Linked DNA regions of Notamacropus eugenii. The protein of the gene in region 2 purifies or fractionates together with the protein of the main gene of each other region. This does not show direct contact. Links are inferred from orthologs where the notes say so. Each region holds a gene or a part of one and is shown on either strand. Other genes may lie near its edges.

Evidence for each region. The genes of interacting proteins can lie anywhere in the genome.
Region 1: the proteins of FOXJ1 (region 2) and TBC1D32 purify together in Homo sapiens (affinity purification with mass spectrometry; 3 studies listed by BioGRID and IntAct, counting the BioPlex papers as one, with this or other methods). This does not show direct contact. The link is inferred for Notamacropus eugenii from reciprocal best matches to the Homo sapiens genes FOXJ1 and TBC1D32.

What each region holds. Positions count from the first base shown.
Region 1 is NC_092873.1:203,877,534-203,885,244, reverse strand, and holds the start of TBC1D32 (protein broad-minded), read left to right. Parts: upstream 1-4,690; 5' UTR 4,691-4,991; intron 4,992-5,158; coding exon 5,159-5,313; intron 5,314-7,711.
Region 2 is NC_092873.1:342,501,225-342,508,312, forward strand, and holds the start of FOXJ1 (forkhead box protein J1), read right to left. Parts: upstream 3,008-7,088; 5' UTR 2,920-3,007; intron 2,310-2,919; 5' UTR 2,138-2,309; coding exon 1,652-2,137; intron 1-1,651. Other genes in the region: E3 ubiquitin ligase RNF157, read right to left, coding at 7,024-7,088. UniProt on the Homo sapiens protein: Transcription factor specifically required for the formation of motile cilia. Acts by activating transcription of genes that mediate assembly of motile cilia, such as CFAP157.

The DNA of each region.
Region 1 (7,711 bases), about 140 Mb from region 2:
ATGTCCATACAGGTATAAGTAATGTGATGAAGTGAAGAGCACTGAATTTGGACTTGGAGGATTTAGTTCAAGTGTAAGCTCTGCCATTTATTACCTGTAGGACCTTGAACAAGTCATTTCTATGGACCTCAATTTTCTCCTTCTATAAAACTAGATGACCTACTATAACAGCAAGCACCCAAGCACATCCAGGATGACCTGCTAATATAGGTTCTTGATTCTACTTTTCTTAAAGGAAAGTTACTTAAAGGGGTCAACAATCACTGTAATTAAACATATATATCATTCACTTAGTTCAGGGGAAAAATCAGAACCCTTAACTTCAGAGAAAATACAAACAGAAATTACAAGCAGAGAAAATAGCAGAGGTCAACAGACAGGGCTTCTAACTGTTTTGAGAAATTGTCACAGATCAACAGACAGATCCAGCTGTCTGACCAAAGCATTACATACATAGTTACCAGAGAGAGAAGTACCAACACCTGGGTTTTCAAAGCCAGGGGGCTCCTTAATGACTACCCAGAATCTCATCTGGCCAAATCACATGAACCTTTTTCCAATGAGTGAGCCCCAAAGTAAAATGCTTAACTCAGAATATATAGAGCCAGAAGGCATCATAACCCACAAGTGCTTCAGTGCCTAATTACCAAATGGTGTGAAAGCCTTCAAGCAAGCAAACCTCTATTAAACAAGCTTCCCTTAATGGGCTCTGTTTGAGCCCTAGTAATGGACTGGGAAGATCTTCAACTCCTATTAACATTACACCTACCTCCAACATCTCCTCTTGCTCTAAATCCTATGAATCACTTCTAAACAATTAGAGATATCAAAATTTGGAATGGGCATGGAGGGCTCTCTCTTCCTCAATGATGGCCTTTAGGTAGGATGAATGATCACTTTGGGGATGCTGGAGGTCTTTTTTTGGTAGGATGGAGGTTGGAGTGGATGGTCTCTGTGGTATCTTCTACCTCTTAGGTTTTGGGATTTTGGTGTTGTACTTGGGTGTTATGTCTATCCACTTTATAAAATACAAGTATTAGTTATTTGAAATAGTTTCTGGGTCCTTTGGTGCTTATTCCATGTAGTGGCAACTTCTAACTTCTGAAAAAAATGGTAGCTTATAATTATGTCTTTGCCTTTATCAATTCCCCATTAAAAAAAAAAAAGTCATGCCTTGTTTGCATAGATCAAATTGGATTTATATAGTAGTTGTAATTTCAGCCAGTGTTTTCTTTTCATCTTTATTCTTGCTTTTCCTCTGGCACTTATTGGGATTTTTGATTTAAGTAAATGCATGACTGAATGCATAGAACCTCCTCATTTTAGGAAGACTTCTACACTGTTAACCAGGGATTTCTGGTCCCTTTAAGACAATGGTGTCAAACTGAATTAGAAAAAGATCCCTTCAGGGGAAATATTCATTTAGGAAGTCACAAATTAACTATATATTTTCAATTTTATTTCTATCTATTTTATTAGACATTTTGTAATTGCATTTTAACTTGGTTGGACAGTAAGCCACATGCTGCAGTAGACCGTGTGTTTAACACCTTTGCTTTTAAGATATAGTCAATTCCACTGGTTTTCATGGGTTTAGTTTTCCATCCTCAGCATGAAATTTAATTTTGTGGACAATGGTTGATGTTGTTTGTCAAAAGTGCATTTTCAATAACCCCACATATTTAGCAAATCTCTTTTAGGTAAGGGAAGGGCAGGGAATAATCTTAGAATGACATATTTTGGGGGGAGATATACGTCAACACAATGATAGGACATTTCATCTCCTGTCTCCATGTCTTTGTACAAGCTGTCTTCCATGTCTGGAATCACTCCTTCCTCACTTCCATCTCTTATAATAACTAGTTTCTTTCAAATTCCAGATTAAACGCTAGCTTTTACTTGAGGTCTTTCATACTCACTTGCCCCCACCAATTACCTTGTATTAATTTTGCATATGTTATAAACTTATATGTATATGTATCATCTCCCCCTTGGGAACCTGAACTCTTTCCTTTCTGTATTTGTATCCCCAGAGCCTAACATACTGCTCAGTAAGTACTAGGTACTTAATAAAGGGTTATTGATTAATTGATTGGTTCTATTTATGGCAGGAGCCATACATATTGTCTCTACACAAAAATTTCAAGATTTTGGCTCACTAAAATCAAAACCCTCAAAATGTCTCGAAGATGTCTTTTAAGCACAGAATCCTCTCAGGGACTAATGTGGAATTCATTTGCTTACAGAAGTATATGTAAGTAGAGTTGTACTGATTGGCAAATAAAAATTTTAAGTATTTACCAAGTGTTAGGTACTCTACAATATCTTACAGTAGAAACACCAGCAAGCAAGGCCTTCCAGAAGCTTACATTCCAAATGAAAGGAAACAAAGATTTGGGGTGTGGTGCTGGAAGATGGTGGGAGGGAAGAGATGCTGAGAGATTGAGAGAATTTGTGCAGAGCTATGGGTCAGGAAAGATAAAGCAAAAGCTCCCCTATTCATGTCTGGGAAACCAGGTTCAGATGGGAGGGAGAAAAGGATAGGCTTAATGGCTAGGGAGCAGACATGTTAAGGAAACTGCCAAGAAGTGGAATGGAACATATTATTCCTTTCAAGTTGCTTTCCATTTTATACCATTCAAGTTTCTGTACCATGTTGCATGCCCTAATGAGATTCTAAGTTGGAGTCCCAGAATGATAAAGTTCAATTATGCTGAAAACCATTAGTCTATAGATTTCTAACTGGAAGAAAAGATCATCTAGTGCAACCTCTTCATTTTTATGGCTGAAGAAATGCAGGTCTTACTTGTCCTTCCCTGGTGCTGACATTTAACACACAAAATCCACTCTGGAGGTGAAGTTCTCTTCCTGAAGGCACAGACTGCCATGCTTGCTGATTTTTGTACCACCAGGTATCCTAAGGCACCTAACACCTGGAAAGTGCTTAATACAGTTTTACATTTATTGGATCATATAGAACACTATGTTACACAGTGTTTGATACTTCAGAGAATGTGCTCCATCTTTTGATTCCTTAAAATGTTGCTTTCTAGAGTGGCTTCCCACTCAGACATCTAAGTTACTCATACCAGTTACCCAGAGAGATAAAAGAGAAAGGAAAAGTACCTACATGTACAAAAAAAAAAAAAGTAGCCCTTTTTGTAGTAGCAAAGAATTGGAAATGGAGGGGATAACCTTAGAATGGTTGAACAAGTTGTGTGTGATGTAATACTGTTGTGCTATATATAAGAAATAGTGATCAGGATGGTTTTAGAAAAACCTGGGAAGATGTGAACTGATGCAAAGTGAAATAAGCAGAACCAGGAGAATAATGCATATGGTAATGGCAATATTGCAATGATGAACAACTGTGAAAGACTTAGCAACTCTGATCAAAACAATCATCCAAGACAATTCTGAAGCACACATGATGAAAAATGCTATCCATTTCCAGACAGAGAACTAAATAAATTCTGAGTGCAGATTGAAGCATAATTTTTCACTTTATTTTTCTTGCTTTTTTTGCAACATGGATAACAATGAAAATATGTTTTGCATTTCACATGTATAATTGATATTATATTGCTGGCCTTCTCAATGACAGAGAAGGGACTGGAGGGAAAGAGAGAATGCAGCATTTAAAAGTTTTTAAAAAAGGAATGTTAAAAATAAATAAATAATGAATTTAATATTTTTTAAAAAATCAGTTAAGATTGTTGTTGCCAGAAGGAAGGAGATAACCTGTGGTAAGGCTCTTAAATTGCTTAAATATGAACCCTGTATGTAACAGCATGTTTAAGCATTAACTTTTTTTTGATTCCTCTGATTTCTTTAAGAGTGTGAAGTACATAATCTTAATGCAGCTCTGTCACTATCACTCATTCTGCATTCTCAACTTTCTCAAGCATCACTTTCAATTTTAAATTTAGATTAAGTGATCCTTTACCTCTTATCACTTCCTCCCTTCTAAATCCCTGCCCTTCCTCTTAATGAGGGGTTGTTCATTTGGAGTCCAGCAGCTTGAAAAACAAATGAAACTATTTAGTTATCATAACAGGTTTTCCTTAGAATCCCATGTATCTTATTTTATGCATTTAAAAACATCTTGAGAAAGGGGCAGCTAAGTGGTGCAGGGGATAGAGGGTCAAGTCAGGAGGAACAATTTCCCTGAGCTCAAGTCTGGCTTCAGCCTCTAGCTGTGTGACCCTAGGCAAGGCGCTTCACCCCGCTTGCCTCAGTTTCCCCATCTGTCAAATCAGCGGGAGACGGAAACGGCAAACCCACTCCAGTATCTTTGCCAAGAAAATCCCAAAGTGGGTCACGAAGAGCTGGATAGGGCTGAAAAGCAACCGAACGAATAAATGGTAAGAAAAGGTTCATGGGTTCAGCAGGTGACCAAGGGGTCTACAACACACATGCAAAAATGTTCCCCATCCTCCCGATTTCTCTTTTCCTTTCCCAAGAACTAAAATCAACAGTTACATCCGTCTGGCCTCTCCCTTTCAGCTGAGCCCCTTCCTCCCCGTCCAGCCCCTCTTTACCCACTGCATTCCCTTCCACCCACTGTATTCTCTCTTTCCCTCTGGATTCCCGCCCCCTTCCAGAGCCCCGCCTCCGCATAGCCCCGCCCCCTAAGCTCCCACAAGCCCCACCCCCTCAGAGCCCCACCCCTTCAGAGCCCCGCCTTACCAGAGCCCCGCCTCCCCGGCCCGCCCTTCTGCTCTTTCCAACCTTCTTTCTCCAGAAGGAGATGGGGGCGGAGATTACTTTCCCGTCGACGTTCACGTCATCACGCTAACGCAGTCGTTCCCGTAAGGTGCCAGCCTCCTCCTTTTCACTCTACCCTTGCTGTGGGTTAGCCCCCGCCGGCCTGGGTCTTTGGAAAAGGTGGAGGCGAAGGCGGCTGCGTCGTCCTCGCCCTCGCCCTCTCCCTCGGTGGCATCTGGGTCCGCTTCCCTAGGCAGGGACCGTCGCGTCCCTCTCTTCCTAAAGTAAGGCGGTCTGCTCTTTGGAAAGAGGCCGGGGAGCCCCGCCCCTAGCGTGGGGCCTTCTCCGCGGCTGGGCCTCGGCCCCGCCCCCTGGGGGGAGGGGTGGAACGCGCCGCGTCCCCGGTCCGGGGCTTTTAAACTCACCGGGCTCCCTGGTGTTGTCCCCACAGATGGCCCATTTCTCCGGCGAGGACGAGGCTCGGCTGCAGGCCATGCTCAGGCAGTTGCTGCAGAGCGTGAAGGAGAAGATCACGGGCGCTCCCTCCCTCGAGTGCGCGGAGGAGGTCCTCTTGCACCTGGAGGAAACTGACGAAAACTTTCACAAGTAAAGCTTGGTTTGGGATTTTCAGCGAGCTCTTACACGGAGGGGAGAAGTTTAAAGGGCCCTGGGAAGCGGTGTCTGAGGGAAACCTGCCGCTCCTTCCCTCTGTCGGCTTAGTCTTTTACCTGCGCCCTCCCGACGAGGCTCCTTTGAGGAGTGGGTGGGTCCGCAGGGGGAACTCTTAAGTCTGACTTAAAAAAATACCTTTCGTGCTTCCCTTCCCCTTATCTCTCTCCTTCGTGTTCCCCCTAACACTTCTCCACACCTTCCTTCCCCTCCACCCACGTACCCGCTAATACCCTGTAGCTGGATTAGGGGTAGGGGGGAGGTTTAATTACTTAAAACCAGAGAGTTAAAGAATCTCATTTTTGAGTCTAATCAGCACAGAGGGAATGACTATCCCCCGGGAGTGCAGTATTTTGTTCTTGGTTCAGGGATCGAAGGACTTTATTTCTTTACTGAAAGATTAGGATAATGGAGTTTCAGTGGGGATTTTTCAGACTGGGATTTTTCTGATGAGCTGAATTTTATAAATGAAATATCAGTTTGTATAATATATATAGTAACTTTCAAAACCTGACCTCAAGATTCCATAATTTTTTCTAAACCCTTCATATTCTGGCTTACCTCAGCAAGGTAGTTGTTATGCACCCCTGGGGATTCTTGGCATTATTAGTGATTCCATTAGTTACGCTGCAGCTGCTCTGATTAGAACCCTTAGTTATCTTTTAGCCAATGATTAGTTTTAGAATTTTTTTTGCTTCGTTAATGATAATTTTCATCCAGGTTTATGATTATGCATAATCTCAGTCTACTTGCATATTTCCTCATTTCAAGTCTCAGTACAGACCATTAGATGATATTCCTTTGAGAGGCTAGGGAGGAATAATTTTATTTGATTAGATTCTGGGTTTTTAATTTTCCCTTATACATGGAGAAAAAAATCAAGGAAGACTCAGGTTTAGGCAGATACTGTTCTGTTTTTTCTTAGGCAGCACAACTAGTTGGATGATATACGATCCTGGACAAACTTTAAGCCAAATACAAGATGGATGGTATTATGTCACATGCAGTGTGTGTCAAATCATTTTAATGATAATTGATACTAGTAGCTTAGTTAAACTTGTAATAAGAATAGACATTTAGATTTACAAACAGCTTTACATTCATTTATCTCATTTGATCACCACAACTCTATGAAGTACGTAATACAAATATTATTACCATTTTACAGAGGAGTAAACTGGAGGTTAGAGAGGCAGAGTCATTTATTTTTTTCTTGGATCATACAGCTAATAAGTTTCAGAGGTGAGCTTTTAACTCGGGTCTTCTTGATTTCAGCTTCAGCACCTTAGCTGCACTTAGGTTCCCCTGTAAAAATAGTATGGCAGATCTTTTCTTTTTCTTTTTTTTTTTTTTTGAGGTGGGGAAGAGGCATATTTCATTAAGTAACAGCATTATTTCAATATTAAGTGGCTGTCAGATTCAGCACCAAAAAGGAAGCTCAAACTTGCAAATGAATTTAAGGGGTCTGGAGTTCAGAAGGGAACTTCCCTTTATCTTCTCTGTCTTTCTGGGGAAGGCAGGAGAAGGGAATAAGCATTTATATAGTACCTACTCTATATTCAGTACTGTGCTAAGTGCTTTTTACAGTATTATCTCATTTGATCTTCACAACAATCCTTCAAGGTAGATGTTTTTTTTCCCCATTTTGCATTAGAGGAAATTGTGCTTAGAGTCACGTTCTATCTAGTAAGTGTCTAAGGATGGATTTGAGCTCTGGTCTTCCTGATTCCAGTCCCAGAACTCTATCTACTTGCTAGATAGATTTTCAAAGAGTGGTATGAAGACTGTAGATGAGAGAAGGGGTCCCTGACAACCTTTGATGGAGCCCAAAACAATAAAACTTTTCATAATACTAAGATGTTTTAATTTCTAAAATGGTAAATATTGATAGGTATAATCCACATAAGCAAAAACTCTTTGGGAGGGGCCTCAACAATTTTTTTTTTAGCAGGGAAGGTACTGAGCCCCAAAAGCGTGAAAATCCCTTTTTTACGGGAATAATGCTGGTTAGATTTCCAGACCAGCCCACAAAGCCCTGTCCAGCTGATAACATAACTTAACTGTAGAGTTGAATGTACTAGATTGTGACTGGGCTTCCAAGAACTTTTGAGATGCCTCACGGAAGAGTAAAATGATTTCTTTTTCCTTTCCTGGCTTCAGAATTTAGTATAGAAAATGTTTTTTAAAAGAAAAAAAGATTCCTTCATCTTCACCCATTCAGCCCCTCTGAATCTTGTAGTTCTTCTTGCCTTTGAAGCCTAAAATGCTAATTGATTTGCCCTTCAGAGTGCTCTGTGATCGAAATTTATCCTTCTCTCTTCTTTCCTCCTCTTCT
Region 2 (7,088 bases):
CCAGCCTCTCCATGCAATAGGGTTGGGGCTCTGTCTCAAACTCTCCTACCTCCCCTCCTCTGTCAAAACTCCAATTCTTTAGGTAGCAATTGCCCGGAAGTCAGGGTTCAAACTTCAGCCAAGTGTGAATGGTTTGGGATTAGGAATCTGTTATCTGCCCCTCACCCCCTTACTTCCAACATCCACTTTCTCCCAGACTTGGGAGTATCAACAGTGCTTTTGGGGAAGGAGATTCAGAGTCCCTTACAGAGACTGTTGGGAAGGGACCTATCCCTGCCTTGGTGGGGGAAGAGTTCTCTTGGGACCATTGTTGCCTCTAGGGCCCTGGTCCTGCACTGGTAGTCTGACTTGATCCTTCTTCTATCATCCTTCCTTGGATTCCCCCCTCCATAGAGCTCAGGTGCACCTCTAAACCATGGTGTTCCACTTAGGGAAGTAGGACCCAGGCCTGCCTCTGTTGGAAGGTAGGGGGTTACACAGTCACAAAGAACCTCAGAGATGGAAGGGAACTTGGAAGTCACCTATTTCCACAGGAGGCATGAACCCCCACCCCCACCCCCACCTCTGTAACATCCTAGACAAGTAGTTGAAGTCATCAGGGAACTCAGTACCCTTTAAGCCAGCTCATTCCATTTTCCAAAAGCGGGGGAGAAGTGGCTGTCCTGGCAAAGCTGTTTACATGGTGGCCTTGGCCCCTTGGCTGTGCTATGTCAAGTTCCAGAGCCTTGGAACAGTTAATAAGAGCCATGGGCAGATCCCCTGTGGGGAGCATCTGGCCCAGGTAATTGCTCCCCTAGGGAGAGTAGGAAGAGAAAAATGGGAGGAGCTGAGTCAGGAAACTGGGGAGAGGCCTCCAGGGGGGGTCTGTAGCTACAGGAAGGACACACATTCACACAGCCAGGAAGGGTGCATATATACACATCCCAGAAGGGAGTCGTAGCTGTTTGTCACACCTCACTGTTTCCTCCCTTCCCTGAACAAACACCCCCAAAAGTTCAGCTTGTCCATTTCAAAATGCAGCTTGGGGAAGATAGTGGCCAAAAACAAAAAAAAAAAGGTGTTGGTCAGGACTGGGGATTCTTAAACCTCAGCCTTTAAGTTCTTGGAATCCGCAGACACTCATGTGACCTTGAAACAAGGTTCTAGTGCCTTGGATAAAACTTCCGCCCATCCTTGGAATAATCTCAGCACACACACTGACTTTTCCCAATTAAACATACCAAGTGACTTGGAGAATCTAAAGGATGGCAAAGTTCACACTTCCCATGTTCTCTAAGGAGGCACTGTTCTGTTTCTTTTTCTGGTCCACTTTCCCTACCACTAGACCACCAGGGGACCACACACTGTCCCAATTCTGATCAAATTTCCAGATCAGAAATCTGGGCAACCCTACCTTCCAAGCACCTGGAACAAAGATCCAAACCCAAATCAGATACTGGGGACTGCACACTTCAAGGTGTCTGTCCTAACTAGGAGAATGTGCCTGGTGACAGCTTTCCTGACCACTCTGGATTTGGGGAAGAGGAGAGAGGGAGAGTAGGATGAAGGATGGATGTTGAGTTGGTAACACAAAAGGGTTGGGTTTAGTCCCTAGAGTGGAGGGGAAATGGGGGTAGGGGGAGAATATCCCTGCCTGTGTGCCCTCCCCTACCTGCCATGTGGGGTCAGCATGGCGAAAGTAGCAGAAGTTATCTGTGATCCACTTGTAGATGGCGGAAAGAGTGATCTTGGTAGCCTTGCTGGCCTGCATGGCCATGCAAATGAGCGTGGCGTAGGAGTAGGGTGGCTTCACATGGGGGTTGGTGGCATAGTCCACGTCGTCGGAGGGTGGGGCCTGCAGCCCAGCGGGAGCACTCCGAGAAGTACAGGAGGAGGTGGGCTTGCCTGGGGTGTGTGGCTGTCCCAGGCAGGCGGGATCTGCAGCCAGGGGTGAGCCAGGGGCTGCTGAGCCTGGCACCTGGTGGTAGCCATGGGGGTCAGTCCCCGCAGGGGGCAGGGAGGGGGCCTTGGCGTTGAGGATGGAGAATTCCTGCAGCCACTGCAGACTGGTCAGGCTGTCATCCAGGCCGCTGGGCTCCTCCAGAGCGCCCTCCTCCACCGCCCCTGCTCCGGAGAGACGCAGCCAATTCTCTGCCATGTCTGGGGGGTCCTCCCCGCGGGTGAGCTCAGCATCCAAGTGCTGAGCGCGGGGACCGTCCTCCTGCGTTCTCTGACTCAGCGACCGCAGCTCCACTCACAGGGGGTCCCGGGCGGCGGTGCTTAGATCCATCCCGGGGCTGCCTCCAGCAAACACGTCGGGACAGCCGAGCCTGGGGGGTCGGGGTGGAAGGGGCAGAGTTAAGACTGAAGGCACCCCTCAGCCCCGGGGAGGCGCGGGTTCTTGTTAAATGGCCTTGCCAGGGTGGGACGGGGTCGGGAGCGGGGTAGGGAGTAGGGAGGTAGGGGTAGCAAGGTGTCCTGAGCGAGACGCGGAACACGTCGGGTCCAGGACGAGTCCGGTCCCAATTTCGGAAAGCCCACCCTGTTTGTCTCGCCTTCTCGTGCTAGGGTGGGCTCTCCTAGCCCCCAAAGTCCGGGTGCAGCGGTTCGGGGCCCCTGAGCTCTCCCGCTTTCTTGGAAGAACCGGCGTCCGGAGGGTTCGCCCCCAAACCACAGCAGGAATGGGGGACAGGGGAGCAGGGGGCCAGCTGTACAGGGAGGGAGGGCGGAAAACCGAGAAGGCAAGACCGAAGAAGCCGCAGGGACGGCTGGGGACTGGAGCAGAGGCGGGCAGGAGGACTCGGCCCCCCGAACCCGTGGGGGCGTCCGCCCGGGACGAGGAAGCCCGCTCCGGACTGGCTGCCCCCTCTGGCTCCTGCCCCAGTCCTCCCTCCCGCCTTCTTCCCCCTGTAGTCTTCCCTCCCCGCTCCCGCCCCTTACCTGGCTCAGAGCGCGGCCCCGGCCCGAGGAAGGTTCTGGAAGGAAAGGGCCCCCCCGCCCCCCGCCACTCTCCGCCCCCAGCTCGTGGCCCCGCCAGCGCCCCTCGTCCCACCCCCCCCTCCCGGCTGAGCTTCTCTGAGCGCTGGCGGCCCTGGGACCGGCATTAAGTAGCTGCTCGGGAAGGCTTCTCCCGCTGCCATGGCGACGCCCCACCCCCATAAACAGCTTCCGCGGCGGCCATTGGTCCGCGCGTCTCCATGGAGACCGCGGGCCTTGCCACTCTCCAGCCCGCTGCATCGCTTCGAACTCCGCGCTTGGTCTGGTCCTCACCCCGCCCCCTTCGCTCCGCGCATTCCCGCGCCCAGCGCCGCGGGCCCCGCGCTGAGAGCCGCAGACCCGCGCAGCTCCCGGGAGGCGGCTCGACCTTCTCACCGGTTGCCCCCGTCCCCGCCCTGCTTGACTGACGGGAAGCTCCCGGGACTGAGCTCCGGGCGGGCTGGGGGCCTTCTCGGGGCCGTGCGAGGCACTCCGTCAAGTTCCTGCAGCCTTTGCTGCGGCCCTGGTTCTCTTTGTGTTCCCTGACCCCTGATCCCCAGGGTCATCCAAGGTCGCTGGCAGGTCTGTCTGTCTGTCCGATGCCACCGCCCGGGAGCCAAGCGAAAGTCTGGAGCAGACCGGAGCACAGCTCAGGGACATTATCCTTCTTTGTGCCATGGCCAGCCAGCTAGGGAAAGCCACTTTTCACTGAATACCTTCTCTCCATCCCCCCTCTCCCCTAATATATTAGAGGGAAGGGGGGCACAAGACAGCAAACCTCAAAGAGCAAGGTGAGAAACTCCGATGGACCTGTAGTTTCTTACCTTTTGGCAGAAAGGAGCCCCCTCCCCCCTCTCCTCCATTTCTCTGGCTTCCCCCTAGTCACTAACGTTCCTGATGTTTAATTATTAAAGGCCTCAGAGTACTTAGAAGTTCTCCAGTTTGCCTTAGCAGAATCAAGGGCTGGGGAGGGGAGTTCATCACACAGGCCTGTACAGGGAGAACTGGGGTCATCTGGGGGAGGGAAAGGGGAGCTGTTGCCCAGGAGGTTGGTGCGGAAGCTCTGGGAAAGGCATGTCAACTCCCACCAAGAAGCATTCCCTCCCCCCTCCACCTTGACCTCTTACTCTTCCACATCCCCTACCTCCAGGGAACCTCTTTAGTAACTGCAGGATGTTTTGGGGGAAATTGGTACAGAATCTCTCAAAAGCAGGCCAAATTCTCAGTCACCAGCTGCCCCTTCCTCTTGTAAACAGTTTTATTTACTTTTGAGAGCCATGCAGAAATCCATAAACATTGCATTGTTGACGTGGCACCTGCAGCATTACCTATGTGTGCACCCCAAAGGTAGCAGGGGATGCACACATACACTGTCACCAACAGTAAGCACATAAACACACACACACAAAGTGTGCAAAGTCTCTGGGAAACATCATGCCACTTCTGCACCAGTCCCAGCATCAGTTTGAAATAAGATACTTTCTTGGTTATGAGTGCTCTACATGCACTAAAAGCTCCCAGGATGGTGGGGATTCCAGGTGGAATAGAACTGGCTCGGGGAATGGGAGGAGGAAGAAAATGTCTTAGTGAGGAAATCAAAACCATCCCATCCTTGGAAAATAATAGGACGGGAACAGAACAAGGTGTGGCAAAGGAGCGATTTGGTGTTACAGCTCATCCTATTCAAGTCCTTCCTTATCCCACAGCTCCCACCAGACCTCTCTTCTTCCCCCATTTGGATCCACTACAGAAGAGGGAGGTGGCCTTCCTCTACTGATGCTTCTGGACCTGCCTTTTTCACTCTCTCTCTTAGAAACATTGTGGCTTTATCCCTGATGTGTTTTCTTAACCTGATAGGGTCAAAGCAGACCATGGTTGGTATTGTCATTTGGGGGTGGGGTGGTCATTTCAAAGCCAGGCTGGCAAGTAAGTGCCTCACGTCTTAATAGCATGGGTTTTGTCAGGTCCTGCTGAATGGGATAATTACCTGCGAAGTATCTAAATAGGAAAAAAAAAAAAAAGAGGAACTATCTTAAGAAAAAAGGGGCTAAGGAGCTGTTTCCACCACATTTACATCTTCGCAGTGGGGGGTGAGGAGACAGTTTTGAAACAAGAAAAGGATTACTACCACCTTTCTTCTGGGTCTCAGCCTTCAATTTCTTGCTGGCTATTTGAGGCAGAGGGATGAGTTGTAGGTTCTGACACCCCAGCATCAAAAGACACAGGTAATCAGTAAAGGGAATGAGGATATTTATTTTGGTTTAAGGTTCCTGGCCGCCTTGGCTACTGTTTAACTGTGGTCTCCATTAGCCCATCTCCTCCCCCAAGCATCCTGTTTAACACTACCCAGTGACTGCTAGAGGTAGGTCTGCATGCTCACTGATGTAACCACCCAGATTACAGAGGCCCAAGGAAAGGGATTATTGCTTAACTATGCTTATTTTAATTTTTGCTTTAGGAAAGAGTGATTGTGGGACAGATAAAGGACCAAGGGTCTTTCTTGGGATGTTAAGAATTACTGATTCAAAAGACTGCCTTAGTTATTAAGCTTTTGAGTTGTCAAGCCATAACCAGGAATAGTAGAGAAAAAACAAAAACTTGTTTTGGATCTGCACCTGGATAGGCTTCTTACACCTCAGGGAATGTACAGTTAGACCACTAGGTTGTACACAAGACCTCTTCTGGGGTGGGAAACCATGGGGAAAGGTAGAGGGGAGTTCTCAGGGTCTTTAGGTCATAGGTCTTTAGAGCATGGACTTACATAGGCTTTCTAACACAGGAATACAGGAGAGCTCCTCCTGGAAAATAAATATATTCCTCAAGGACGCCTGTACCCAGTCACTGGAAGCTTCACTTTTCCACATTCCCTGACCACTCCCCGCCCCTCCACAAAAGCCTATGATCTCCCTTTTAAATGCTATTAACTAAACAGTATCCAGAACTCCTCCAAATAACCCTGATGGGGGGATAGGAATGATACCTGACTTAGAGGCTAGCCTTTTTGGTTCAGGATTTTATTGTATGCACTTATGTTTCAAAGCACCTCATTTGACCTGAACTATATTGTAATCCAAGTTCTATGTAGTAACAGATCTGCTCCTCCACTGAACCTCTTAGTATTAGCTAAGGCTAAGCAGGAAGGAATGTAAGGGGGAAGCCCTGGAGGTGGAGGAGGCCTGCTCACTCCCTTCATATAGCTCAGTGAGTTCACTGATGCCACATGCCTCCCCTCCCCTCCCCTCCAGCTATTTGAGGCTCTACTTCAGACCCTCATTCCTTTCCCCAGGGTCCCTGGACACTAATGTGAGAACCATTGGTAAGTACTACACACATCTGGAAGAAGGATGGCAGACCTTCATTCATGTATATTGTCCAGAGCACAAACAGTTGAGAACTTAGTGTCAAGGTTCCCCATAAAGAGAGTGGTCCTGTCTCCAGGACAGAGCACAAAGAGGCAAAAGCTAGAATTCTATGGTAAGAAAGATTTAACCATCCCACTGGATACTACTTTTCAGAGTGGGTAGAGAAACTGCTTCAAGATAGCTTAGTACCCGATGCCTGGTTTGCTCTGCCATGGATGAGGGCTAACCCAAAAGAAGAGTTGCCAAGGTAGTTTAATTGTGCTGGAGGTCAGATAATGTAACATGGGTAAAGGAAAGTGAAGCAGCCAATTTTCTGAGCCTTCCTGCTGTAACCATAAGGAAAAAAAATGGAGACCAGGCAGGCAGCACACAACGAGCTGTTCTACCTAAGAGGGCAGATGGGGCAGAAGTCTGTGAAAAGGCAATGATGAACCATAGTTCATCAACTTGACTTTAGCTCCAGGTAGAGGGACTTCCAGTCTGTTCCAAGTGGAGATCCAGGGAGTAGGAGAAGGTGGACAAGGTGTAGAATGACTTTGACATCCAGTTTTACACACAGATATAAAAAGTCAGCACAGGTCTTAGTGGGAATACCCATGAGGTCAGCAGTCCAGTGGGGGACACATTGGAATGTGAGGATGGAAAAAGGCCCTGTAATGACAGGGACTAGGACTCTTCAGACAGCCTCCTTACACAAGGCTTGTTCTCAGGGTCCTCCAGGCTGCTTTGATGACAAGTGCCAGCATTGACTGTTCCTGCAACTGATAGCAT